Linked DNA regions of Saccharomyces cerevisiae S288C. The gene in region 4 interacts genetically with the main gene of each other region. Each region holds a gene or a part of one and is shown on either strand. Other genes may lie near its edges. The genes, in order: MLP2, MAD1, RAD57 and NUP60.

The links.
Region 1: mutations in NUP60 (region 4) and MLP2 together harm fitness more than expected from each alone (negative genetic interaction), as found in Saccharomyces cerevisiae (6 studies listed by BioGRID, with this or other methods).
Region 2: mutations in NUP60 (region 4) and MAD1 together harm fitness more than expected from each alone (negative genetic interaction), as found in Saccharomyces cerevisiae (5 studies listed by BioGRID, with this or other methods).
Region 3: mutations in NUP60 (region 4) and RAD57 together harm fitness more than expected from each alone (negative genetic interaction), as found in Saccharomyces cerevisiae (5 studies listed by BioGRID, with this or other methods).

What each region holds. Positions count from the first base shown.
Region 1 is NC_001141.2:61,275-71,987, reverse strand, and holds MLP2 (Mlp2p), read left to right. Parts: upstream 1-3,920; coding exon 3,921-8,960; downstream 8,961-10,713. Other genes in the region: SLN1 (histidine kinase), read left to right, coding at 1-2,197; ubiquitin-60S ribosomal protein eL40 RPL40A fusion protein, read right to left, coding at 2,460-2,838, 3,273-3,280; MCM10 (Mcm10p), read left to right, coding at 9,260-10,713. UniProt on the Saccharomyces cerevisiae protein: Together with the closely related MLP1, involved in the structural and functional organization of perinuclear chromatin. MLP1/MLP2 associate with the nuclear pore complex and form filamentous structures along the nuclear periphery.
Region 2 is NC_001139.9:343,771-351,352, reverse strand, and holds MAD1 (coiled-coil domain-containing protein MAD1), read right to left. Parts: upstream 4,235-7,582; coding exon 1,985-4,234; downstream 1-1,984. Other genes in the region: GUP1 (O-acyltransferase), read left to right, coding at 1-737; LCL3 (Lcl3p), read right to left, coding at 913-1,737; E2 ubiquitin-conjugating protein MMS2, read left to right, coding at 4,449-4,459, 4,545-4,947; YGL088W (uncharacterized protein), read right to left, coding at 5,152-5,517; MF(ALPHA)2 (Mf(Alpha)2p), read left to right, coding at 6,200-6,562; LIF1 (Lif1p), read right to left, coding at 6,769-7,582. UniProt on the Saccharomyces cerevisiae protein: Central component of the spindle assembly checkpoint. Thought to recruit MAD2 to unattached kinetochores. During checkpoint activity, MAD2 is relayed from the MAD1-MAD2 complex to the mitotic checkpoint complex (MCC).
Region 3 is NC_001136.10:451,736-458,883, reverse strand, and holds RAD57 (putative DNA-dependent ATPase RAD57), read right to left. Parts: upstream 3,684-7,148; coding exon 2,301-3,683; downstream 1-2,300. Other genes in the region: SOK1 (Sok1p), read left to right, coding at 1-342; RNA polymerase III-inhibiting protein MAF1, read left to right, coding at 781-786, 867-2,048; YDR003W-A (uncharacterized protein), read right to left, coding at 3,980-4,102; RCR2 (Rcr2p), read right to left, coding at 4,130-4,762; Ran GTPase-binding protein YRB1, read right to left, coding at 5,234-5,839; alpha,alpha-trehalase NTH1, read left to right, coding at 6,409-7,148. UniProt on the Saccharomyces cerevisiae protein: Participates in the repair of X-ray-induced damage to DNA and in meiosis. It may act in part by stabilizing a repair complex of other RAD genes.
Region 4 is NC_001133.9:150,719-154,838, reverse strand, and holds NUP60 (FG-nucleoporin NUP60), read right to left. Parts: upstream 2,583-4,120; coding exon 963-2,582; downstream 1-962. Other genes in the region: ERP1 (Erp1p), read left to right, coding at 115-774; transcription factor TFIIIC subunit TFC3, read left to right, coding at 3,673-3,742, 3,833-4,120. UniProt on the Saccharomyces cerevisiae protein: Functions as a component of the nuclear pore complex (NPC).

The DNA.
Region 1 (10,713 bases), on a different chromosome or scaffold from region 4:
TGACAGAAGTTCCAATAGATCTCACATTCTCACAACTTCTGCAAATTTAACTGAAGCTAGGCTACCAGATTATAGAAGACTATTTTCTGATGAACTTTCCGATTTAACAGAAACCTTCAATACTATGACAGACGCATTAGACCAACATTATGCTCTTCTAGAAGAAAGAGTTAGGGCGAGGACAAAACAACTCGAAGCTGCCAAGATTGAGGCAGAGGCCGCAAATGAAGCAAAAACCGTCTTTATTGCCAATATTTCGCACGAATTGAGAACGCCTTTAAATGGTATTCTGGGTATGACGGCTATTTCAATGGAAGAAACCGATGTTAACAAAATAAGAAATAGTTTAAAACTCATTTTTAGATCAGGTGAGCTTTTGCTTCATATTCTAACGGAATTGTTAACTTTTTCCAAAAACGTTCTTCAAAGAACGAAACTGGAGAAAAGAGATTTTTGCATTACCGATGTTGCCTTACAAATAAAATCGATATTTGGTAAAGTTGCAAAGGATCAGCGTGTTCGTCTTTCAATATCATTGTTTCCTAATTTGATAAGGACAATGGTTCTTTGGGGTGATTCCAACAGAATTATTCAAATTGTGATGAATCTAGTGTCCAATGCACTAAAGTTCACCCCTGTAGATGGTACCGTTGATGTAAGAATGAAACTGTTGGGTGAATACGACAAAGAATTAAGCGAGAAGAAGCAATACAAAGAAGTGTATATCAAAAAAGGGACAGAAGTAACCGAAAATTTAGAAACTACAGATAAATACGATCTTCCAACTTTATCGAACCATAGGAAAAGTGTCGATTTAGAATCCAGCGCTACTTCCCTAGGAAGTAATAGAGACACTTCGACAATTCAGGAAGAGATAACAAAAAGAAATACTGTTGCGAATGAAAGTATCTATAAGAAAGTGAATGACAGGGAAAAAGCTTCGAATGATGATGTATCTTCTATAGTATCAACAACTACCAGCTCGTATGATAACGCTATCTTCAATAGTCAGTTCAATAAAGCACCTGGCTCAGATGATGAAGAAGGTGGTAACCTAGGAAGACCTATCGAAAACCCCAAAACGTGGGTTATTTCTATTGAAGTGGAAGACACTGGGCCTGGTATTGACCCTTCCTTACAAGAATCTGTATTTCATCCATTTGTTCAAGGTGATCAAACATTGTCCAGGCAATATGGTGGTACTGGCTTAGGTCTATCAATCTGTAGACAGTTAGCAAATATGATGCATGGAACGATGAAATTAGAGTCGAAAGTAGGTGTTGGTAGTAAATTCACTTTTACCTTGCCATTAAATCAAACTAAAGAGATCAGTTTTGCAGATATGGAGTTTCCTTTTGAGGACGAATTTAATCCTGAGAGTAGAAAGAACAGAAGAGTCAAGTTTAGTGTTGCTAAAAGCATCAAGAGCCGACAATCCACATCATCTGTTGCAACACCAGCTACAAATAGAAGTAGCCTAACCAACGACGTGCTACCGGAGGTAAGAAGTAAAGGTAAGCATGAGACGAAAGATGTTGGAAATCCTAACATGGGAAGAGAAGAAAAAAACGACAATGGAGGGCTTGAACAACTGCAGGAAAAAAATATTAAACCTTCTATATGTCTTACAGGTGCTGAAGTTAACGAACAAAATTCCTTGTCTTCTAAGCATCGTTCTCGACATGAAGGTCTAGGTTCTGTCAATCTTGATAGACCATTTTTGCAAAGTACTGGTACAGCCACATCAAGTAGAAACATCCCCACAGTCAAAGACGACGATAAAAATGAAACAAGTGTCAAAATTTTGGTTGTAGAAGATAATCATGTAAATCAGGAAGTTATCAAAAGAATGTTGAACTTGGAGGGCATTGAAAATATTGAACTGGCTTGCGATGGCCAAGAAGCATTCGACAAAGTTAAAGAATTGACATCTAAGGGCGAAAATTATAATATGATTTTCATGGATGTCCAGATGCCTAAAGTGGATGGTTTACTTTCTACCAAGATGATAAGGCGCGATTTAGGTTATACCTCACCTATTGTCGCTCTAACCGCTTTTGCTGACGATAGCAACATTAAAGAATGTTTGGAATCAGGAATGAACGGATTTTTATCGAAACCAATCAAAAGACCAAAATTGAAAACTATTCTTACTGAGTTTTGTGCAGCATATCAGGGAAAGAAAAATAACAAATGAACAACCAAGAATAGTAAGAGAAATCAAAAGCTTGCGCGTAATACCACCGCTACGCGTTGACTTATATGCATAATATACAAATATACTTAAAAAAAAAAAAACAACATTATAGATTCCAAAGTTATGAAACTAAGAAAAGTATATTGTTTTCTTAAGTATATTGTATGAATTAATATTATGATTTTAACAGTAGGTATGATAAAAGAAGATGTACATTAAAGTATACAGTAAATAAATGTATAGATTGATTGGGCGAAACAGATCATTTTAACTTCTTCTTTGGACGCAATTGGTTGGTGTGACCACACTTTCTCTTTCTACAGTTGGTAGCTCTTGGTGGCAATCTAGCATAACACTTACGGCAAACAGATTTGTCACAGTTGTACTTGGAAGCCAAAGCTTTCAAAGATGGTTCAATGATACCACCTCTCAATCTCAAGACTAAGTGCAAAGTGGATTCTTTTTGAATGTTGTAGTCAGACAAGGTTCTACCGTCTTCCAATTGCTTACCAGCAAAGATCAATCTTTGTTGGTCAGGTGGGATACCTTCCTTGTCTTGAATCTTTGACTTGACATTGTCAATAGTGTCAGAAGATTCAACTTCCAAAGTGATGGTCTTACCAGTCAAAGTCTTGACAAAACTGTTAAAAAAATAATTTTATAAAAAAATGACAAGTTAGTAAGGATATCATAAAAACACGTAATAGTTTTTTCATAACTGTTCGGAAGAAGACAAAATTTTAAACGAGCTCTCATCGTCATATCTTGGGGGAGAGCATGAACCACAAATTTGGATATTTCTTAGGCAATGAGACTGTTAAGTCGCATCACCCGCTCAAAATCTAATCATATTTTCCACAAGTCACTGTACATTCACTAAGTCATTCCTAGAGAGGAAAGTTCCTCATATTCAGTTTGGCAGTTTTCTTTGTTTTAATTTTTGATGGATAAAAAATTTTGTAGACTTTACAGATACGATGTTATTCCACTGGGTAAAAATTCAGTTTCTAAAATAATTGTCCCTTTAAGCTCTGAACGTTCGAAAAACTATGTTTAGAATGGATATGGTGCATACATTTGCATGTTTGAATCTTGGTCGTCTCAACTATGGGATAATAAGCGGTAATAACAACAACAAATAGAGATTCAACTACCTTTAATTTCAGATATTCTTGATACACCTTTGGTTGGAATGTATGCCTCGCTAGAAACTGGAGAAGGCCGTCCTGAGGCCGGAAACCATCTCACCCTCAGGGAGGCAATCGGAGGTCCTGTCTAGAGAGAAAAGAGTACAACAAAACCCATCCCATAGGAGGAATATGCTCCGCCTATGTCCAGGCGGAGTGCTAAGAGGTTCCGCATCTTTTCTGGTTTGCTCCACGAAATATCGACACGGAGCACAAAAATAGAAAAACCATACATCTTAGTAATGTACGGATGTAATAAACTCAAATTGCAGTCAATAAACTTGTCGATAGCTTACCCGGATATTGCATGGAAAATTTACTTCACCATAAGGGAAAAAGACCAATATTCGTTAATGAACAGTGGATATTATAGAATTGTTGGATAGAGTTGATCGATAATTGAAGATAATAGAAGAAGAAAACAATATCGGCGTTAAATTGCAAGCGCTTATTTCTCTGGTGGCTTTTCTTTTTCTAGTGGAAGTTTACCAAAAGAAATTTAAGGCGAAAGAACACTGGGCGGAAGCAAACCGGCAATGGAGGACAAAATATCTGAGTTTTTAAATGTTCCATTCGAATCACTTCAAGGTGTTACCTATCCTGTCTTAAGAAAGTTATACAAGAAAATAGCCAAGTTTGAACGTTCTGAAGAGGAAGTGACAAAACTCAATGTTTTGGTCGATGAGATCAAATCGCAGTACTATTCAAGGATTTCAAAACTTAAGCAGCTACTAGATGAATCTTCTGAGCAGAAGAACACAGCTAAAGAAGAATTGAATGGCTTGAAAGATCAGCTGAATGAAGAACGTTCCAGATATAGGCGGGAAATAGATGCACTAAAAAAACAATTGCATGTGAGCCATGAAGCTATGAGAGAAGTAAATGACGAAAAACGAGTTAAAGAAGAATATGACATTTGGCAGAGTAGAGATCAGGGGAATGATTCTTTAAATGATGATTTGAACAAAGAAAATAAGCTTCTTCGAAGAAAGCTGATGGAAATGGAAAATATACTACAAAGGTGCAAGTCCAATGCTATATCATTACAGTTAAAGTACGATACCTCAGTACAGGAAAAAGAATTAATGTTACAAAGTAAAAAATTAATTGAAGAAAAATTATCATCTTTTAGCAAAAAAACGCTAACAGAAGAAGTCACAAAATCATCGCACGTAGAGAACCTCGAAGAAAAACTATACCAAATGCAATCCAACTATGAATCTGTCTTTACGTACAATAAGTTTTTACTAAATCAAAATAAACAATTATCCCAGTCGGTGGAAGAGAAAGTACTGGAAATGAAAAATTTGAAAGATACCGCAAGTGTGGAAAAAGCAGAATTCTCCAAAGAAATGACTTTACAAAAAAATATGAACGATTTGCTACGCTCACAACTAACATCATTGGAAAAAGATTGTTCCTTGAGAGCAATAGAGAAAAATGATGATAATTCCTGCAGGAACCCTGAACATACTGATGTGATAGACGAACTTATAGACACAAAATTAAGACTCGAAAAATCAAAAAATGAGTGTCAAAGGTTACAGAATATAGTTATGGATTGTACCAAGGAAGAAGAAGCTACAATGACTACGAGTGCAGTTTCTCCCACAGTAGGTAAACTATTTTCTGATATCAAAGTGCTGAAAAGACAATTGATAAAGGAAAGGAATCAGAAATTTCAATTACAGAATCAACTGGAGGATTTTATACTAGAATTAGAGCATAAAACCCCTGAACTGATCTCTTTTAAGGAAAGAACAAAATCATTGGAACATGAACTAAAACGTTCCACAGAACTACTAGAAACTGTTTCTTTGACTAAGCGTAAGCAAGAAAGAGAAATAACTTCACTGAGACAGAAGATAAATGGCTGTGAAGCAAATATTCATTCTCTGGTGAAACAACGTTTGGATTTGGCCCGTCAAGTTAAACTACTTCTTTTAAATACATCTGCGATACAGGAAACGGCATCGCCGTTATCGCAAGATGAACTGATATCATTAAGAAAAATACTGGAGTCGAGCAATATCGTAAATGAAAATGATTCCCAAGCCATCATTACGGAAAGACTGGTTGAATTCAGTAATGTGAATGAGCTACAAGAAAAAAATGTTGAACTCTTGAATTGCATTCGGATTTTGGCTGATAAATTAGAAAATTATGAAGGAAAACAAGACAAGACCTTACAAAAGGTAGAAAACCAGACCATTAAAGAAGCAAAAGATGCAATAATTGAACTGGAGAACATCAATGCGAAGATGGAAACCCGGATAAATATCCTATTAAGAGAGCGGGATTCTTACAAATTGCTGGCATCAACTGAAGAAAACAAGGCCAACACAAATTCTGTCACTTCTATGGAAGCAGCCCGTGAAAAGAAGATTAGAGAACTTGAGGCAGAACTTTCATCTACAAAAGTCGAAAACTCTGCTATTATTCAGAATTTAAGAAAAGAGTTGTTAATTTATAAGAAATCACAATGCAAAAAAAAAACAACTTTAGAGGATTTTGAAAATTTCAAGGGTTTGGCAAAGGAAAAAGAACGTATGTTAGAGGAAGCAATAGACCACCTAAAAGCTGAACTCGAGAAACAAAAATCATGGGTTCCATCATACATACATGTTGAGAAAGAAAGAGCCTCAACTGAACTGTCACAGTCTAGGATCAAAATCAAATCTTTGGAGTACGAGATTTCCAAACTGAAAAAGGAAACTGCCAGCTTTATACCCACGAAAGAATCTTTAACTAGAGATTTCGAACAATGCTGCAAAGAAAAAAAAGAATTGCAGATGAGACTAAAGGAGTCTGAAATCAGTCATAATGAAAATAAAATGGATTTTAGCTCGAAAGAGGGCCAATACAAAGCCAAAATCAAAGAATTGGAAAACAATTTGGAAAGATTACGTTCCGACTTACAATCAAAGATACAAGAAATAGAATCGATACGCTCATGCAAGGATTCGCAACTCAAATGGGCTCAAAATACCATCGATGATACAGAAATGAAAATGAAGTCCTTACTAACTGAATTATCAAATAAGGAAACAACGATTGAAAAACTTTCATCAGAAATAGAGAACCTGGATAAGGAACTAAGAAAAACCAAATTCCAATATAAATTCTTGGATCAAAATAGTGATGCAAGCACGTTAGAACCGACTTTGAGAAAAGAATTAGAGCAAATCCAAGTTCAATTGAAGGATGCAAACTCACAGATACAGGCTTATGAAGAAATTATATCATCGAATGAAAATGCGCTAATAGAATTGAAAAATGAACTAGCAAAAACCAAAGAAAATTACGATGCTAAGATTGAACTAGAGAAGAAGGAAAAATGGGCGAGGGAAGAAGATCTATCTCGTTTACGCGGAGAGCTCGGTGAAATAAGAGCTTTGCAACCGAAACTAAAAGAAGGTGCATTGCATTTCGTTCAACAATCAGAAAAGTTGAGGAATGAGGTAGAAAGGATCCAAAAAATGATAGAAAAAATTGAAAAAATGAGTACGATTGTCCAACTGTGCAAAAAAAAAGAAATGTCCCAATATCAGTCCACAATGAAGGAAAATAAAGATCTATCTGAATTGGTTATCCGCCTTGAAAAGGATGCGGCTGATTGCCAAGCAGAATTAACAAAAACCAAATCCTCATTGTATAGCGCTCAGGATTTACTCGATAAACATGAAAGGAAATGGATGGAGGAAAAGGCTGATTATGAAAGAGAATTGATATCTAATATTGAACAGACGGAATCCTTGCGTGTTGAAAATTCGGTATTGATTGAAAAGGTTGATGACACAGCAGCAAATAATGGCGATAAAGATCATTTGAAGCTAGTTTCTTTGTTTTCAAACTTACGTCATGAAAGAAATTCTTTAGAGACGAAGTTAACCACCTGTAAGAGAGAATTGGCATTCGTTAAACAAAAGAACGATAGTTTAGAAAAAACGATAAATGACCTGCAACGAACCCAGACTTTATCGGAGAAGGAATACCAATGCTCTGCAGTTATTATTGACGAATTCAAGGATATCACGAAAGAAGTTACTCAAGTTAACATTTTAAAAGAGAATAATGCCATCTTACAAAAGAGTCTCAAAAACGTAACCGAAAAAAACAGGGAAATTTATAAACAATTAAATGATAGGCAAGAAGAAATTTCTCGATTACAGCGTGATCTCATACAAACAAAAGAACAAGTTTCGATAAATTCTAACAAAATTTTAGTATATGAAAGTGAAATGGAGCAATGTAAACAGAGGTACCAGGACTTATCTCAACAACAAAAAGATGCCCAAAAAAAAGACATTGAAAAGCTAACTAATGAGATTAGTGATTTGAAGGGAAAACTTTCAAGCGCTGAGAACGCAAACGCTGACTTGGAAAATAAATTCAATAGGCTAAAGAAGCAGGCTCATGAAAAATTGGACGCATCTAAGAAACAACAAGCTGCTTTAACTAACGAACTCAACGAATTAAAAGCAATTAAAGACAAATTAGAACAAGATCTACACTTTGAAAACGCTAAAGTTATTGATCTAGATACGAAGCTCAAAGCACATGAACTCCAATCAGAAGACGTCTCGAGAGATCACGAAAAGGACACTTATCGGACATTAATGGAGGAAATTGAATCACTCAAAAAGGAGTTACAAATTTTCAAAACTGCGAATAGCTCATCTGATGCATTTGAGAAATTGAAAGTTAACATGGAGAAAGAAAAGGACAGAATTATTGACGAAAGAACGAAGGAATTTGAAAAAAAATTACAAGAGACCTTAAATAAGAGTACAAGCTCAGAAGCAGAATACAGTAAAGATATCGAAACATTGAAAAAGGAATGGCTAAAGGAATATGAAGATGAAACGTTAAGGAGAATTAAGGAAGCAGAAGAGAATTTAAAGAAAAGAATAAGGTTACCAAGCGAGGAAAGGATACAAAAGATCATTAGTAAGCGTAAAGAAGAATTAGAAGAAGAATTTCGAAAGAAATTGAAAGAAAACGCGGGAAGCTTAACGTTTCTTGATAACAAAGGTAGCGGGGAAGATGCCGAAGAAGAATTATGGAACAGTCCATCGAAGGGGAATTCTGAGAGGCCGTCGGCTGTCGCTGGCTTTATAAATCAAAAAAACCTTAAACCTCAAGAACAATTGAAGAATGTGAAGAATGACGTTTCCTTCAATGACAGCCAGTCAATGGTTACAAATAAAGAAAATAATATCGTGGATAGTAGCGCTGCTGGTAACAAGGCCATTCCAACCTTTAGTTTTGGTAAGCCATTCTTCTCCTCTAATACATCATCTCTTCAAAGTTTTCAGAACCCATTCACAGCATCCCAATCTAATATCAATACGAATGCCCCCCTACGTACACTCAATATTCAACCTGAAGTTGCAGTCAAAGCGGCGATTAACTTTTCCAACGTAACCGATCTAACTAACAATAGCACCGATGGAGCAAAAATAACAGAAATTGGAAGTACATCTAAACGGCCAATTGAGAGCGGTACATCTTCTGATCCAGACACCAAAAAGGTTAAAGAGAGTCCAGCAAATGATCAAGCTTCCAACGAGTGATGTAATATTAAACAATGTAATTATATAAATATGAAACATCTACATATTTTAAATGTCACTAATGTCATTACAGAGGACATAAAGTGATTTATGACACATCCGTACTAGTAGTTAAGTATGAACAAATTTTGGGTTTATTTGCCATTTTTTTTCACGCGGGTTTCTTGGATGCGCAAACCCACCTTTTCTAACACCACTAAGAAATATCAACTTTATAGGCCATCGAAGATAAAGGAACGTAAGTTTGTCAATTCAACCTCACATTTTCAACGCACATTAAGCACTTGGTTCGTGGAGAAATGAATGATCCTCGTGAAATTTTAGCGGTTGATCCGTACAATAATATTACTTCTGATGAAGAGGATGAGCAAGCCATCGCGAGAGAACTTGAATTTATGGAACGAAAGAGGCAGGCCTTAGTGGAACGATTAAAAAGAAAGCAAGAATTTAAGAAACCCCAGGATCCTAATTTTGAAGCCATCGAGGTACCTCAATCTCCTACCAAAAACCGTGTGAAAGTGGGGTCTCATAATGCTACACAACAAGGCACAAAATTCGAAGGTTCGAATATTAATGAAGTAAGGTTATCTCAATTACAGCAGCAACCAAAACCACCAGCTAGTACAACCACATACTTTATGGAGAAATTTCAAAACGCAAAGAAGAACGAAGATAAACAAATTGCCAAGTTTGAAAGCATGATGAATGCAAGAGTACATACGTTCAGTACCGATGAGAAGAAATATGTGCCGATAATCACAAACGAATTAGAAAGCTTTTCAAATCTTTGGGTTAAAAAGAGGTACATACCTGAAGATGACTTAAAACGGGCTTTGCATGAGATCAAAATCCTTCGGTTGGGCAAACTTTTTGCTAAAATTCGCCCACCTAAATTTCAAGAGCCTGAATACGCCAACTGGGCCACCGTAGGCCTCATTAGCCACAAATCGGACATCAAATTTACATCATCTGAAAAGCCAGTCAAATTCTTCATGTTCACCATAACGGACTTTCAGCATACACTAGATGTTTATATCTTCGGGAAAAAGGGTGTAGAAAGATATTATAATCTTCGCCTGGGTGATGTGATAGCAATATTAAACCCAGAAGTACTACCATGGAGACCCTCAGGGCGAGGAAATTTTATCAAATCCTTCAACCTTCGAATTAGTCATGACTTCAAATGTATCCTGGAGATAGGTTCAAGTAGAGATTTAGGTTGGTGTCCCATAGTGAATAAAAAGACTCACAAAAAATGTGGCTCTCCCATTAACATATCTCTTCATAAGTGTTGCGATTACCATAGAGAAGTGCAATTTCGTGGAACAAGTGCTAAAAGAATTGAATTAAATGGTGGGTACGCCTTGGGCGCGCCTACGAAAGTGGACTCTCAACCAAGCCTATATAAGGCCAAAGGGGAAAACGGGTTTAATATAATCAAAGGTACTCGTAAGCGCCTGTCAGAAGAGGAGGAAAGACTTAAAAAGAGCTCTCACAATTTTACGAATAGTAATTCTGCCAAAGCATTTTTCGACGAGAAATTTCAGAATCCAGATATGCTGGCAAACTTAGACAATAAAAGAAGGAAAATAATAGAAACTAAGAAATCGACAGCACTGAGCCGCGAACTAGGCAAAATTATGAGAAGGAGGGAATCCAGCGGATTAGAAGATAAGAGCGTCGGAGAGCGACAGAAAATGAAACGAACCACAGAAAGTGCCCTCCAGACAGGGCTTATCCAACGCCTAGGATT
Region 2 (7,582 bases), on a different chromosome or scaffold from region 4:
TTTTTTACTATGCGGTGAGATTCGTTATTGCTCTCTTATCTATGGAGTTCATTTTACACTTTCTCCACGTTGTGGCAATCTCAAAAACCAAAGCGTGGGAAAATGACACACCTTTCCAGATTTCCATGATTGGCTTATTTAATTTGAATATTATTTGGCTAAAACTACTGATTCCGTGGAGGCTGTTTAGGCTGTGGGCTTTGCTAGACGGAATCGATACACCTGAAAATATGATCAGGTGTGTTGATAACAATTACAGTTCACTAGCATTCTGGAGAGCTTGGCATAGAAGCTACAATAAGTGGGTTGTCCGTTACATATATATTCCTCTAGGTGGTTCAAAAAATAGAGTTTTGACATCACTAGCAGTCTTTTCCTTCGTAGCTATATGGCATGACATCGAACTAAAGTTATTATTATGGGGTTGGCTAATAGTTTTGTTCCTCTTACCAGAAATTTTTGCTACCCAAATTTTCTCTCATTATACCGACGCAGTCTGGTACAGACACGTTTGCGCTGTCGGTGCTGTTTTCAACATATGGGTTATGATGATCGCTAATCTTTTTGGATTCTGCTTGGGCTCTGACGGTACTAAAAAATTACTAAGCGATATGTTCTGTACCGTATCTGGTTTCAAATTTGTAATTTTGGCAAGCGTTAGTTTATTCATCGCAGTACAAATAATGTTTGAAATCAGAGAAGAAGAAAAGAGGCACGGAATTTACCTAAAATGCTGAATGCCAAATTTACGAATATCAATTGTATAACACTGCTATCATGTATGTATTTTTATCTACTAGTACAAAAATGAAACCGAAAATAAATAAAAAAATATCGAGAGGAAGCGTGAAAAGCTAATGAACATATAATATGAAAATCTGCAGTATGATGGATAAAAATCCTCTCGAAAACTCAAATACGTTTTTTATATTCACCAGGCGTTTCAAATTTATTCTGGATCCACAGTCCCTTTTTTCTAGATCTTGCCAAAAATTCATAATATCGATACTTATCTTCTCTATCATCAAATTCTGTGTTTACTTTACCCTCATAAACAACCGCTAATCCATCCTTGAGCATTTCTAAGCTTAAGTCTTTCCACCCACCAAACCAGTCCCAGTATGACACTCGAGCTACACAACGGTTGTACTGATCTATAGATAAAGGCTTGACCCATACTTTCTTTCCCAAAATTCGGTTTTGTAACCAAATTAAAGCTTCATTACCAAACGGTTGAGCTGGGTTACCGAAATGTGCTCTTTCTGGGGCATCGATTCCACATAATCTTATAGGAATAGTTGGCAGGTTTTTCCTATTTTTGTAAGGTACATTTAGCTTCAAGAACTGGCTTTTAGCTTTTTGTATTTTACTTTTGGTGGACCTCCCATGCGTAATCCAATTGAAATTGAAAAACCTCATATTTCTGCTATCTCCAACAAGCTTTTCTGCCGTAGAATCATTCTTGATCATTTGTGGGACGGGTCGTAACCATCCCCATCCACCTCTTATACCACCTGGCATGTGAAAGAAATGAAAGTTGTCCCCGTCACCTACAGACGTGACTTTACCATAAAGCCAGTGTTTACGAAATATTCTTCGCGGTATATCATTTGTTCTTTTGAATTGAGTTAAATACCTTTTATATGTGTAGATCAATGTTAAGGTCGAACCCGTAAGGATGATGGAGAGGACAGCAACATCCGCAGATTTTTTTGAATTAGAATCACCTTCCCTCATATAAGTGCATTTATGCCCCCTTAATAGCTATGAAAAACTGGGCTTCTTTTTATATCATGTGTGACTTATTCTGTAATTTGTTTTTATTCTTCAACACAATTTTTTTTTTTTTGCATACCAAAGGAATCATAAAAGGTCAATGATGAAGAAAGATAAAAGAATTTTGTGACCAACAATTATGTCAGCGGATAGGAGTTTATCATATTATAAAACCGATTACTATTATCTATTAGAAATGTATATACACTTATTTGGCTTGTCGCTGTTCCCACAGACGCAATGTTATTGTTGCCAAAAAGCACGGAAGTTGACCTCTATCTTCCACCCATAGATTCATGAGATCATCCCATCCTTCTATATCTGCATCAAGGTTAGATTTCAAAGTGTTTTCATTTAGATCAGCAATCAAATATTTTTCAGGTTTGAAACAGGAAAATATTTTCACACGACTATCTTGTTGAAATTCCAATTTAAAACCTAATAATGAGTTTACAACGTCAATAAACTCCAAAGATTTATTATTGAAAACTTGCTTTAGTCTGGAAAATCTTTTATTTGACTTAAAAACTTCCTGTTCGAACTGTTTCAACTCGAAATTTAGTGAATCATAAACAGAAATGGGTACTGTTTCCACTGCTGGATTATTCTTTTTCAATTCGTTAAGTAAATCTGCATTTTCCTTTTCTAGAAGAAGTAATTTGTTTTTCTTGATAAATTGATCTTTTATGAAGGGGCCGTCACGTAATTGCAGTATACGTATTTTTTTCTCCTTTAGTTTAGTTAACTTTTCTAATTTTTCTTGTAGTAGCTGAATTGTAGTTTGTGCTTTACTCAACTCCCTCGAGACACTTACATTTTCCAGTTGCAATTCGTTGAGCCTCTGTGAATAATTTAAACCAATTTGGTCACTTGTCAACTTCCTCTTTTTTCTTTGTGTTTCTACATCATTGGAATTTGATAATAACTGATCGTTTAGCTTCTTTAGTTCGTTTGTTAAATCTTCTGTCTTATTTTTATAAGTATCGATCAAATTATTCATATCTTCGTTTACGTTCTTGTTTGACGCATGTGTTTCACTATTTTCGACCTCTAGTAAAGCATTATTTTGTGCGGAATATAGGCCATCTAATTGTTCGCGCAGTAATCGACATTCTTCGAAAGATAAACTCTTCTGTTGTTCTAACTCGTGATTTAATCTTTTCAAATTTACTATGTTGTTTTCATAATTCTTGTTCAAATCTAGTATTTGGTTTCTCTCTAAAGCCATTTCATCATTCAGTAGCTTTAAATTGTTATTGTCCAATCTTAACTTATCATTCATATCTGTCAAAATTAAACATTCCTTTTTGGTAAGTTTCCAGTCCCGGATAATCTCTTCAGGGTTATTTCTTATGTTATTTTTGGTTCTGTTGTTATTATTAATATTGTTGTTATTACTTGTATCATTATTATTATCATTATTATTATCATTTTTATTATTATTATTATTATCATTGTTGTTAACATTGTTATCATCATCATCGTCACTATCATTATAAATTTCCCATTTGGTTAATTTCGATTTTAGATCTATGTTTTCCAATTGAAGATTTTCATATTGACTTTCGAGTACGTGTAATTGACTTAATTTGTTTTGTAGTTTTTCATTTTCTAATTTCCAAAAAGTAGAAGTGTCCTGGGATTGTTTAAGTTTTTTCAATTCATTGGCTTGTTGCATGTTCGCTAGTTCCAATTCTTTAGTATACTGAACTTGGTCTTGGATCATTTTGTTCATTTCAGTGAGCTCGTTGAACTCTTCGGTGGAGTAGTTTGGATGTGAGTTTATCATCTTAGATGCTTTTACCGAAGATAATTCATCATCCTTTTCCATCACTTGATGCTGCAAATCTTTGATATCCACACTTTGCCTCTTTATTTCTTTCTCATATTTCATCAGTAGCGAATGAGAGCTCTCTGCTTCCAACTTGAAATGGTCACATTGGTTAGTGACCTTTGATAACTTCGAATCATACTGCTGCCTTAAAGTCTCCATTTCTAAATCTTTGTTTTGGAGGGTTGTTCGCAATTCCTCTATGCATTTGTCTTTATCATTCATCGAATTAGCTGATCTTTCTTTCAAACTCTTTAACTCTTGCTCCAATTTATCATTGCTTTCATAAAGATATTTTGTATCATTCAATGCTTTCTCTAATTCGTCAATCGTGGCCTTATATTTCTTTTCTAAGATATTCGTCTGTTTTTGTAGCTGCAATTTTTCAATCTCATACTCATTTTGTAGAGTATTGAGCTTGAATTGTAACGCCTGAATCTGACGATTACTTTGTCCATTTGTACTGCCTACGTCGGGCGAACCTCCAGGGCTTTCCAAGAAAGGAGAGGACCCACCACTATTGCTCATTTTGTACTGGATAGAATAGATCTCTAGTCCCAATTTTTTTCCAGTGAATCGTCCACTCAATGCACTGAAGAAACATTGCAATGCCGCTCTCACATCCATTATTTACTATTACCTCTCGATTTTAAGATGGAAAAAATTGTTAGGAATTATTCCTAGGGTAACACGCTATCAATTTTCATTGCTCCTTTAGCGATAAATAAGAGACTAAAATAAGATCAACTTCCTACACAATCTCTGCTCATTACATTTCGATGTCGTGGTGAAATTCTTATTCTGTATATGCAACGTAGAAGAAAGCAGCGTTTACACAAAAATGTCAAAAGTGTATGTTATTATAAGTTTTGAAAGGGATTTCAACATATACTAACAAATTCTTGAAATGTACCCTCACTGTCCTATTGTAAATCAGACCAAGAAATTTTAGGTTGTTAGAAGAATTAGAAAAGGGTGAAAAAGGGTTTGGTCCAGAATCATGTAGTTATGGTTTAGCTGATAGCGACGATATTACCATGACCAAATGGAACGGCACTATTTTAGGGCCCCCTCATAGTAATCATGAAAACAGAATCTATTCCCTTTCTATAGATTGTGGCCCAAACTATCCAGATTCTCCCCCAAAGGTCACTTTCATTTCCAAGATAAATCTACCATGCGTCAATCCAACTACGGGGGAGGTCCAAACTGACTTCCACACCTTACGTGACTGGAAAAGAGCCTACACCATGGAAACTTTATTACTTGATCTTAGAAAGGAAATGGCAACCCCAGCGAACAAGAAATTGCGTCAACCGAAGGAAGGAGAAACCTTTTAGTTATCTACTTTTTCCTAAACAGTATTTGCAGCATTCCAAGCCACTCATATATACAAGCAATAAGACATAGATATCCTCTTATTTAGGTAGTAAGTTTAATTACTTTCATAATATGAATTTACTCACCCCATGCCGAGAAGTTACTCGTGCAATTCACTACGATAATGATGTATATAGTTGTATTATCAATCCTTGCAACGGTCCTCATCCGGGCACACGAAGGTAAACCCTTAGATCTGCTAAAAAACAGACGACAGAAAGACTGTTGCACCCAAGATCGATAAATTTGTTCTCCAGTCCAAGCCAATAATAAATATATTGCAACACCAATCCACATTCTTCATGGGTCAAGAACGCCCCGGAGGGGTTCAACCTCGACGAGATACTGTACGTGTTACGAATGGCTGTTAAATTTGCGTTACTGTTATAAAATAACACTAAAATAAGAAATGGAAAGTAAATAAATAGTAAAGGAAAGTCAAATAAAGCAATGAATGCTGCATTGATCTGCCTTTTATAGCTAAGAAAAAAAAAGAGAAAAAAATAATAAGTGCGGGTAACCTCATGCATTGTAAAACGGTAGGGCTACAAGGCACTACTTACTCTACGCTATAGAAGAAGCTTCAAGACATGGTGTTGTTCTTATTTGAGCGAACTCAGCTGTCACCGTTTCGGGAAACTCTATAGTTTTCTGCGTTTCAGTACGCAGTTGGGCGTGCTAAAGTTGTTTTCCTAATTTGCTAGTGTTCACTTGCTCATTGATGTCCCTAAAAGGTAATGTCGCATAGTAAGATGTATGTCCCATATCAAACGCATTCCTAGAAAAACATGCACTGAATGAATAAGCAGTTACTTCGATTACTAATCTTCACAGCATAATTTTTCTCTTATCTTGTAAACCTCTTTCTATCTTTTCATAAAGTTTGTCACTTATATTTCTTCATTGGTACATCAATGCCAGCAACGATGTGCGCATCTGGGCGACGCCTGTAGTGATTGTTTTCAAGGTATCGAGCCAAACTATTCATCGTTACTGTTTCAAATATTCAGTTGTTTCAGTACAGAGTCGCCGTGGACCTAGTGAAACTTGGTGTCTTTACAGCGCAGAGACGAGGGCTTATATGTATAAAAGCTGTCCTTGATTCTGGTGTAGTTTGAGGTGTCCTTCCTATATCTGTTTTTATATTCTATATAATGGATAATTACTACCATCACCTGCATCAAATTCCAGTAAATTCACATATTGGAGAAAATGAAATTCATTTCTACCTTTCTCACTTTTATTTTAGCGGCCGTTTCTGTCACTGCTAGTTCCGATGAAGATATCGCTCAGGTGCCAGCCGAGGCCATTATTGGATACTTGGATTTCGGAGGTGATCATGACATAGCTTTTTTACCATTCAGTAACGCTACCGCCAGTGGGCTATTGTTTATCAACACCACTATTGCTGAGGCGGCTGAAAAAGAGCAAAACACCACTTTGGCGAAAAGAGAGGCTGTTGCCGACGCTTGGCACTGGTTAAATTTGAGACCAGGCCAACCAATGTACAAGAGAGAGGCCAACGCTGATGCTTGGCACTGGTTGCAACTCAAGCCAGGCCAACCAATGTACTGAAAAATGACCCTAAACTACTTCTAAACCCTCTCGATTTCTTTCACGTTCATACAACACCTAGTTTTATTTATTTTCTTTTCAATCTGAGTAGTTGAGTTTTCGATCACTCACATAGAACTATTTTTTGCCATTTAAATAAAGTATTCTCTCAAATGATGCGATACTATAATACTCTTTGCCATATATTACATTCATTCATAAATAGGCTATGTTTCTATATCCGTTTCCGATTCTGTCTGCAAGCAAGGTTCCCTATCATTACCGGATTGTTCACTATGGTTGGAGCTCTTCTTTTCCCCTGCACTTGCATCAGTCTCAGATTCAGAACCAGAAATGTCTCCGTAATCTTCATCCGATCTTCCTGCTGATATTTGAATACCATTGTCTTCTAAAGACACTAAATGTTTTTGAACATCACTGCTACTATCAGATTCAAAACTTATTGATTGTGTGTCATCTCCAAAAGAGGTAATATCATCGTACTTTTCACTGAGTTTATCTTTAGCAGTAATAATTGGCCTTTTAGAAAGTCCGAAAAATTGAAAGTCATCAAAATCGTCGTCTTCCATTTTGATCACGGATTGATTAGATATTTTTCTATTAGCTCTCCTCCGACTTGTGTCTTTCAACTTCTTTTGTAAATTTTGAGGCTCTACTACCGTCTTTCTTCGTTTCATTCTTTTTCCTGGAGAGTTTAACTCAGAAATTGGCTTTTGCACTTCCGTATTAATAAGCGCAGAATCTAAAACATCATCGTCAGACAATTTGATATTATTTTGTCGCAGAATCTCATGAAGCTCTCTTATTTTCTTCTTCTTCTCATTCAACAAGGTTACCATCATTGCTCTGGTTCTTTCATCACGTGTTTCTAAAAGCTTATCCAATAGCTCCCTTTCCCGAGCCAGCTGTTCAACTCGATTTCTATTGCTAGAATCGCTCTCCTTTATATTCCGGTAAGAATCGTTAACACAACAGATATCTTTATAGAGTTTATCTGCCATTTCAAATAAATCAATCTCT
Region 3 (7,148 bases), on a different chromosome or scaffold from region 4:
TTCAACAGGTCCGAGTGCACAATTGATGGACGCGTTAAACAAGACTTTGTGTACCTCTACAACACAAACAATGGCAACGTAGGTAGCACTAACACTTTGAGTACTACTACAGATACTGCTAGCGTTAAAATCAGCCCGTCTTTGATGTCTCCTTCTAAAACCTCCACCACCACACCTACTGGCAATGCGATTGCATCCAGAGGTTTATTCGCAGCAACAGAGCTGGAGGAATTCGAGAATGTTTATCGCCACTTATATGCATTAATCAACCTTCATTGGTCCGTATTCGGTCCTCATTATATCGAAATGTTAGGAGATAAAGTTAATAAAAAAGGAATATAACTATTATCGGTAATGGAGGAAAAAAAAATTTTTTTACCATTTCTTTATGTAACTTCATATATCATTTTTAAAGCGTACATTTCTTATAATTTCACTTCTTAAATGCAGTCACATATTTACTGCTATCAGACAAAGTAAAGCGTCGCTAATTACTTGCCTCCACGAGTTGCTTGTCAATCAGGGGCGCTTCATCTCGCCAGCGAAAGCGCGTTGTCCATCTTATTTAACAAGAGAAAAAAAAGATAATTCAACTTAAAAAGAACGTGCTATCAGCTATATAAAATGTAGACACATTATGTATCAGTGTTTCTTTAGCAATGCGAAAAATATAGGCTTAGTGTCATTTACTTAAAGTTTAGAAACTCTGCACACTTCACCAAGAACAAGTTTAACCGCTCATTACTCCAAACGGATTTTTTTGCCTAAAGAATCACGACAATGAAAGTATGTTATCACTCTAAAACTGCCATGCTCTTTATTCGAAATTACTAACATTGTACCTGAACCCTCCTTTTCTTCCTTAGTTTATTGATGAGCTAGATATAGAGAGAGTGAATCAAACTCTCAATTTCGAGACAAATGACTGTAAAATCGTGGGCAGTTGCGATATTTTCACAACAAAGGCGGTTGCATCAGATAGAAAATTATATAAAACTATTGATCAGCATTTGGATACTATTTTACAGGAAAATGAGAATTACAATGCTACCCTTCAGCAACAGCTAGCTGCTCCCGAAACAAACCAATCACCCTGCTCGTCGCCATTTTATTCTAATAGGAGGGATAGCAACTCTTTTTGGGAGCAAAAGAGAAGAATATCTTTTAGTGAATACAATAGCAATAATAACACTAACAACAGTAATGGCAATAGCAGTAATAACAATAACTATTCTGGACCTAATGGTTCTTCTCCAGCAACTTTTCCCAAAAGTGCCAAGCTAAATGACCAAAATTTAAAAGAATTAGTCTCGAATTACGATTCTGGCTCTATGAGCTCATCGTCTCTTGATTCTTCTTCTAAGAATGATGAGAGGATAAGAAGAAGGAGCAGTAGCAGTATTAGCAGTTTCAAAAGTGGTAAATCATCGAACAATAATTACAGTTCTGGTACAGCAACCAACAATGTTAACAAAAGAAGAAAATCTTCGATAAACGAAAGGCCAAGCAATTTAAGTTTGGGTCCGTTTGGTCCCATAAACGAACCGTCAAGCCGCAAAATATTTGCTTATCTGATTGCTATCCTCAACGCTTCTTATCCTGACCATGATTTTTCATCGGTTGAGCCAACGGATTTTGTCAAAACATCATTGAAAACTTTTATTTCCAAATTTGAAAACACCTTATATTCTCTTGGTAGACAACCAGAGGAATGGGTCTGGGAGGTAATTAATTCTCACATGACTCTTTCTGATTGCGTCCTTTTTCAATATTCACCTTCAAACTCTTTTTTGGAAGATGAGCCTGGCTATCTTTGGAATCTTATAGGTTTTCTTTACAACAGGAAAAGGAAAAGAGTGGCTTACCTTTACTTGATTTGCTCGCGTCTAAATTCGAGTACAGGCGAAGTGGAAGATGCCTTGGCAAAAAAACCTCAGGGAAAGCTTATAATAGATGATGGCTCAAATGAATACGAAGGAGAATACGATTTCACTTATGATGAGAATGTAATAGATGATAAATCAGATCAAGAAGAATCCCTACAGTAGTTTTAAACTTTAATTTGTGAATTTTCCTTGTCTTACACCTATAATCGTTAAAAACAGTCCCTTTATGTCTACTATTGTAAGTTTCTATTTTTAAAAAAATACCCTTTTCAACTATGTACCTTTATGACAATATTATATTTACTAATTGAACACTTTAGCGAGGATTGAATAATGTGCGCTACTATATAAAAAGACTGCCTTCATCATATATTACTGCAAAGCTCTTAGTTTCTTTCGAATACGGAACTTCAATCAGGCTGTTTCTATTCCTCGCTTAGTAATTTGATATGCAATTTGACCAGGCTTAGCGAATGTGGAATATACCACTTTCATTGTCCTCTTAACTTGCCAGAAGCTTGCCGAATCACCTCCCTTATAAAGATGAGCTTCACCTCTTTGAATTATTGTTGAAGCCTTGAAAGATTTTTGAAGTAATATTCGTGTTGAAACGTGATTGGACCAAGTCAAACCGAGATTGGGGACACGATAGTCAAATTTCCGTTTCTTACTTTGTCGACTGATAGGACTTGATGAATTTCGCTCAACGGTTTTATTCTCAATTATGGGTGGTTTCTTTTTTGAAAAAAAATCATAATTCCGGTCATTTACAGTGCTCATAACTCTCTCGATTAGCATATAATCTTCATCGTCTGATAGAATTTCATCGTTATTGGAACTTGCTCCAAGCAGCGAATTCATCTGCCGATAAAGAATGGTTGAGTTCTTCCAGCCAACTAGCCACCCTAGCTGATAATCATAATCAGTTACATATGTCCTATGTGCCACTGGACTGTTAGCCAGTGGTTTATCCCCAACTTGATTAGCCACCACAACGGATAATGAATAATCGTGGGCCAGTATTTGGAGCTTCTCTGCCATCCTATCCAGATAGTTTTTATTTTCTTGGGATTCTCTGAAGGACTTGTTCTGAAGCTCCACCCTCAAATGATGAGAAATCGAATCTATTATCACCAATTTTATTGAACCCTTAGATCTCTCTAATAAAATAGGCAACTGAACATTGATTATGTGTTCCTGATTTATTAGGTCGTTACAGCTGACGGTGAAAATATTTGATTGTGTAATACCTAGTTTTTCATAAGCCGGCCTAGACGATAGCATACTTTCCAATCTCTGAGTTGGTAAATCGCCCTCAGTGGTAATATATACACATTTGCCGCCAAGCCCTCCCGCAGGTTCGGAAAGTTGGACACTTAACGCCAACTGCATAAGTAATTGAGATTTACCAGTAGAGCTCTCTCCGAATATTTCTGTAATGCCATGCGTGAATATGCCTCCACCTAATAATTCATCCATAGCTACATCAGCAGTCGTGAAACACTCAGGACCGTTATCTGGGCTGATAGAGTTTTTTTCACAGATTTCTAAGTACTTTTCATTATATTCATGAACAAGCAATTGCTGAAATCTGAAAACCTCATTTATCGACCTTTGTATTAGCCTTGCCAATTCCTTCGGAGTGAGTGTTAAAAAATCTACGACGCAGACACCATTTTGCCTTACTGCATCCAAAAGATATGAAAATTCTTCATCATAAAGGAGTTTACTTTCCGGTAATTCATCGTAAAGGTCCATATACGTATTGTCAAATTTTATTGATAAGGCCCTAGGCATGAATTTACACACTTTGAAAAATGGTGAATTCCCAGTGGTTGTTCATCATTTTCATTTTTTGAATTCAACGCGAAAAAGCCGAAGATTAACCGGCATCTGAATTCTCATGTTACTTAGAGGATAATGTGTGAGAAGAAATAGGTAAAGGAAGAATATATTTATAATATATAGGCAATTAGACTAATCAAAATCACCGTCCGTATAAATCGTTGAATGGCTTTTCCGTGGACCGAGTCGAAAGCGTTCCGATGAATTGACTGTTCTGGACGTCGATACTACCAGCTCTCAAACCTAAATCAATAGTATGTTCCTACTATAATACACAACTCGGAATAATCGCGACTTTCAAAGAAACGAAAACTTCTGTACTTCTTTTTTTTTTCAGCACTCTTATAACTATTTTCTATACCGCAAGTCATGCGATAATAAATTCATTAAACGAAAAATCACTTACTCACTTTCGCTCTTGCCGGCGCGTTATTAACATCAAAGGAAGAAGATTCAACAGTCGGAGAATGCTGCTCGTTGCGATTACTCTGACCATTAACGAAATTATTCATAGTGGGTCTTAGCAGATTGAAGTCGAATTCACTTTCACTAGGAATTCGTACGACGGCAGCCACTGGGCGCTGTAAGTCTTTATCAGTCGAGCTAGCTTGTTCTTCTGATAAAGGCGGTGGCGCTAAATATTCCGTTTTGCCATTAGGATGAAACTCTCCTCGTTCGTCGTAAAACCCCAAATCATTCTCATTTGCTGTCTCTGTATATTCAGGAACATAGTCTTCAACGCAACGCTGTGTGCCATTGTAATCTCTCTCGGACTGCCTGTAGGTAGGCGGGGTTAACCAAGCGGTTCCCCTAATCGGAGCTTGACCCATAATTCTTCTTCTCCTATTCACTTTTGCAGTTGAAAACAGAAGTATAAGGAGTGCAACTATGAAAAAAATAAAAAAAATCCATCTTCCCCATCTCCATGAGGAAGAGCTAAATGGATCATCATCTGTAATCGCTTCACCATTGTTATTATTATCATCCTGTCTTTTATGTATTAGGAAGTCGATCTGCTCCCGTAAAATCATTTCAAAACTATACTCTCTGTTTAGCTAAATTTCCTTCAGCTTTCTAGCGAGCTAAGGAATGTATTCCAAATTTACTGCTCCTTTATTACGTCAAAAATTTCTATAGTATTCGATTCTCATTAGTAATTATAAAGGAGTAGCGAGAAAAACAAAAATAAAAGGGCGGAAACATAAAGATGGTAAATAAGACAGAGAATATTACCCGGAAACATACTACGAGATTATTGAGCTAATCTCCATGCACCAAAGTGGTTAGACATTTGGCTACATTGACTACTGCAACAATTACTTGAACCCTCTAATCCTTCTTACATATCTATTCATATGTGATTTCACAATGCTACATAAGCGTTTTTTATATAATTAAAGAGCAACTTTTCCTCACAGTAGATAAAAATATATATGCACGCTGTAAAGGAAAATTACATTAGGAACAAAAAAATCTAGACGCAAGTAACAAGCACATCGAAACTAAGCCTTTTTGTTGATTTCTTGAGCTTTTTCAAATTCTTCTTTAAATTTATCAGCATTTTCCTTACTGCCAAATCTGATAGCAAAAGTGAAGGCTTCTGCTTCACCTTCTGCAATATCTGCTGTACAAGCATACACCCAAGATCTATCAGAACCAACGTTAGGCTTCAAAGTGTATTCTGGAGCAATGATGTGGTTAGCACAAATCTTTAAGGTCTTGTCTCTTCTCATCAATATTCTAACCTTGTTAGTCTTTTTGTTCTTCAAGAACTTACAGTCACCAGTACCTCTTTCTTTCCATTCCTTGGCATCGGCATCGAATCTGAAAAGCTTGGCTCTGACCTTGTAAAGAACTTCTTCGTCTTCTTCCATTGTCTTAACATCTACCTTTTCCAGGTGAACCACTGGTTCAAAATGGATATCTGGTGATTCTGGAGCATCATCACCTTCCTTCTTGGTTTCCTCCTTGGTATCTTCTTCGTCTTTCTTGGTTTCTGGCTTTTCGGCCTTCTTACCACCAAACATGGAGAAGACAGCAGAGGATGGTGGCTTTGGAGCAGCCTCTTCCTTCTTGTCGACGACAGGTTTCTTATCTTCGCTAGACATTCTTTTTCTATAGTTGTGTTTATCTTCTTGCTTTTATTTCAAATTAAACAAGATCTTTCTTCTTTCTCCAATTGAATATCAATTTCATCATCAGATTTTAGTTTCTGTTTTATTTTTTATTTTTTTATTTTTTTTTTGTTTCTTGTTTTCCGCGTACTTCCCGCTGGGCGAAAAAAGAAATGAAAAAAAGAAACGACAGGAGCATCGTGTAGGACGAAGCCCCTTATCCCCTAGTTACCGAAGAAGGCCACCAATCTTAAGTTTGATAGAGCAGTACTTATATAAGGCTATATATAGACTGGTTCACAAGGTTATCAATATGAAACTTGCGCGATCACCGATTTACGGGATTTTTCAGGAGCGAGGTACAAGATTTGTTGGCCTGAAAAGATCGCAAAACATTAGCTAGAAATTTTCCCCCTATCGTTTTCCGTAGAGTAAATATAATATCAAGAAGATAGTTTTATATTGACTGATTTCACAACCAACTGCATAGATATAAGGAGATTACTAGATACAAGAACGCCTGATAAACAAAAAAAGAAAAATTAACAAAAAAAATCAGTAGAATGAGTCAAGTTAATACAAGCCAAGGACCGGTAGCCCAAGGCCGTCAAAGAAGATTATCATCACTAAGTGAATTCAATGATCCATTTTCGAACGCAGAAGTCTACTATGGCCCCCCAACAGACCCAAGAAAGCAGAAGCAGGCAAAGCCCGCTAAGATCAACCGTACGAGGACTATGAGTGTTTTCGATAATGTATCTCCTTTCAAGAAAACTGGTTTTGGTAAACTTCAACAGACTAGACGTGGTTCTGAGGATGACACCTATTCAAGTAGTCAAGGTAATCGTCGTTTCTTTATCGAAGATGTCGATAAAACACTTAATGAACTACTGGCTGCTGAGGATACCGATAAAAATTATCAGATCACCATCGAGGATACCGGTCCAAAAGTTTTGAAAGTCGGTACCGCAAACTCCTATGGCTATAAGCATATTAATATTAGGGGTACGTATATGTTATCCAATTTGTTGCAGGAACTAACTATTGCGAAAAGTTTTGGTAGACACCAAATTTTCTTAGATGAAGCTCGTATAAACGAAAATCCCGTCAACAGATTATCAAGATTGATAAACACACAGTTCTGGAACTCTTTGACCAGGAGAGTTGATCTGAACAACGTAGGCGAAATTGCAAAAGATACCAAGATTGATACGCCGGGGGCAAAAAATCCAAGAATCTATGTTCCTTATGATTGTCCAGAACAATACGAATTTTATGTTCAAGCTTCTCAAATGCATCCATC
Region 4 (4,120 bases):
TAATAAGTTGAAAAAAAAAAACACATCAGCAGAAATGTGTACATACAAAACTTACTCTATCTTCCCTCTGTAGTTTGGAAAAGTATTTAAAGGTAACCAATCTCTCTACTAATCATGCTTTTAACCTCTCTTTTACAGGTTTTTGCCTGCTGTCTAGTTTTACCAGCTCAAGTTACTGCGTTCTATTATTATACTTCTGGTGCTGAACGTAAGTGCTTCCACAAGGAATTGTCTAAAGGTACTTTGTTCCAAGCAACTTACAAGGCACAAATTTACGATGACCAATTACAAAATTACAGAGACGCTGGTGCGCAAGATTTTGGTGTCTTGATTGATATTGAGGAAACTTTTGATGATAACCACCTGGTTGTTCATCAGAAAGGTTCAGCAAGTGGTGATTTAACTTTCCTTGCGTCTGATTCGGGTGAACATAAAATCTGTATTCAGCCCGAAGCTGGTGGCTGGTTGATTAAGGCTAAAACGAAGATTGACGTTGAATTCCAAGTGGGCTCTGATGAAAAGTTAGATTCTAAGGGTAAAGCCACTATTGACATTCTACATGCCAAGGTTAACGTCCTAAACTCCAAGATCGGCGAAATTAGAAGAGAGCAAAAATTGATGAGAGATCGTGAAGCTACCTTTAGAGACGCCTCTGAAGCTGTTAATTCTCGTGCTATGTGGTGGATTGTCATTCAATTAATTGTTCTCGCTGTTACTTGTGGCTGGCAAATGAAACACCTGGGCAAATTTTTTGTTAAGCAAAAAATTTTATGATCAGACTAAAAACCTTTTATGTATCTTCTAGAAATTTATAGTTTATAAGAGCCGCTAAAGGTATTCCTTCTTTTTGAGAAAGTGGAAAAAAAATGACTAAATAATATCATCTTGGAATGGTATTTTACACAAACTTACGTATTGAGTTGGGCTATACGGTAATTATGTCACGGCTAAAATTTTCATTATCAAAAGGTATATAGGGACTTGAAAGCCTCAACTTTATTTTCATCAACCAAGCCATTTCCTAGCTGCTTAGACACCACGGGAACATTGAAATCAAACTCTTCCGCCTTTTCCTCTGAAAAGTCGTTATCAATTGAGGCGCTGATATGTTTACCTTCATTATCGTTTTCTTGTGAAAGATTGGACCGTGATTTCTTTTGAACACTATTAAAAACAAAGCCTTTCGATGAACTTTTTTGAGGAGTAACCGAAAGATCTGGTTGGACGGGAGTAGAATCGCCCTTTGTAAGTTCGGTTTTTGGCTTTCCAACTAACGGCTTCGCCTGTAGGTTGGTAAAATTGAATTCCTTTGATGATGCAGATGGTGCGTTCTCGCTCTTATAAGCATTCTCAGTAGGTTCAACGTTTCTTGAAGTATTAAACGAGAAGTTAAAAGCAGAGGATGGAGGTTTATCTCCACCATCCTTCTTTTCAGGTGAGGTTTCAGCTACGACGACATTTGAGCGTAAGGATGAGGACCTTGCAGGTTTGTATTTAGTAAAAGAATCTTTGCTTGGCGCAGATGGTGAAATTTTGGTGGCGTTCAGTTGTTTCATTGGTTCTTCGCCTTGTTCAGGAACGTTTTGAAATAATGGCTTAACAGTAGTTTCTTCTTCACTGATCTCTTGCCTTGGTGCAGCATTTGGAGAAACTCTCTTATGTTTGCGTATTTGGCTTACATATGAGGAGTATGGATTAGCAAGTTCTGAAGCTGCATTATTCTTCTTACTGTCATTTTCATCTAATAGTGAGACCAATGCCGCAGCTGTATTACTTATTTTCTTACTAGGAGCTGACTTTGAAACACCACTTCTTACCGATTTAGCAGATGCTATACTTTGAGCAGATGTGTTGGCTGTGTATGTATCGGGGATCTTTTTCGCTGCACTATATCTATAAACGGTTGTTTTGTATGGTGAGGGCAGGCTAGAATAATTGAAACTGTATTTTCTTGAACCAATGCTTCCCAAAGTCGTATTCATTGACGCATTTGAAGTATCATATTTTGGGTTGAAGGTCGGCGCATTAGATATGCTGATTGGTGTACTTCCTGACTCCTTCAAGATAAGCGACTGGTCGATATTATTACCTTCGGCTGATTTTTGTTCTCCTTCCGAAGTTATCATGGATTTGCTTGATTTTTGTAACAATGACATCACACCCTCTATTTCAATTTCTGATAAAGGCTCATTACCTTTTTTACTAAAAAAGTTTGCAAGCTTTGCATTGGAGATGTTAGTTTCATGTGTTTCATCATACTCCTCTTCTTTATTCTCAATGTCGTTTCTGGCTTCACCCACTGCAGAAACAACTACGGAACGGTTTACAGTAGAATCTGGGGATATCTCAGAATGGAAATAACCTCCAGGCATACTTGAGATTCTTCTGTTAAAAGACTCATTGCGTGGTTGTTTATTAGCAACATTATTCCTTGGACTCACTCTGGCTGAATCTTTTTGGGTAAAGAAAGTTTTAATTTTAGAGAAAAGGCTTGGTTTATTGTGTGCATTGCTAATAATCTGCTTTCGATAGGGAGCGGAAGGCACAGTAGCGCTAGCCCTCCTCAATGATTTACGATGCATTGGATGTCGATTTTAGGATATCTTGCGGTGCTTATTTGATGTAAAGGTCTGTTATTTGATGTTTAAAAGTACACATTACAATAAGCTTTCACTTGTAAATATATCTTTTATTTTCCGAGAGGAAAAAGTTTCAAAAAAAAAAAAAAAAAAAGAAGAAAAATAACTTTCTCATGTAATAAAAGGTAACTAATGTAGACAAAAAAGTATACATTTAGCTTTTCTTTTTTTGATGATTTTTGAGTTTCATGTTACTAATCAGAACAATTAACGACACCTTCATTATGAAAAAATTAATTAGCTATAAGTCTTCGAAGTAGAACATGATATTTGGCAATCACTCGAATAACTATCTTAATTTACCTGCTGAAATAATTTGAAAAAACACCCGAGGCAGCAGACGAAAGGTGTTTTTGCTAAACAATGATTGATTTCTGGCGCCATTTCTACATTCTGAACAGTTCATCTCATTTCAGTAACAGTACTTCAATGGAATATTTATTAAAGAAAGTGCTTAAAAAAGTATTATAAAACGATACATGGACTGACTCAAGATTGAGCTAATAAGGTCCACCGCCTAGTGCTTAAGAGTTCTGTACCACTATAATAATTTATCTTGATCGTATTATGTGTAAAAAAAAGGCGCTTGAAATGAAAGCTCCGAAAATTAAAATACTTTGACTGCTTCGGAAAACAAAAACATATAAATAAATTTAAAAAATAAACTGTAAAATATTTAAAAACTATTAAAAATATTTTATATTTTTAAAATTATTTATTATTATGTCATGTGACAAGACTTAAATCATTACATAAAAGGTTTTGAAGTTCAATGTCAAAGTCAATATAATAAGCATACTAAGGCACACTTATGCAAATCGAGTTATTGAAGCTGGTAAAATTATAAGATTTTTATTTTTATTTCTTTTATTTCTGCAAATCTGCATTTTCAAATACCGCTTGGTTTTTTGCATCATAAAGGGCGGCGCTTTCAGTCGCGAAAGTGAAATAAACAACCAGTCACACATATAACTTTCTTCTTGCCATAAGAGAGAAGAGGACGTTTGGTTGAAGCCAACTAGCCACAAGAAAAATGGTACTGACGATTTATCCTGACGAACTCGTACAAATAGTGTCTGATAAAATTGCTTCAAATAAGGGAAGTATGTTCATGTCTCATTCTCCTTTTCGGCTCCGTTTAGGTGATAAACGTACTATATTGTGAAAGATTATTTACTAACGACACATTGAAGAAATCACTTTGAATCAGCTGTGGGATATATCTGGTAAATATTTTGATTTGTCTGATAAAAAAGTTAAACAGTTCGTGCTTTCATGCGTGATATTGAAAAAGGACATTGAGGTGTATTGTGATGGTGCTATAACAACTAAAAATGTGACTGATATTATAGGCGACGCTAATCATTCATACTCGGTTGGGATTACTGAGGACAGCCTATGGACATTATTAACGGGATACACAAAAAAGGAGTCAACTATTGGAAATTCTGCATTTGAACTACTTCTCGAAGTTGCCAAAT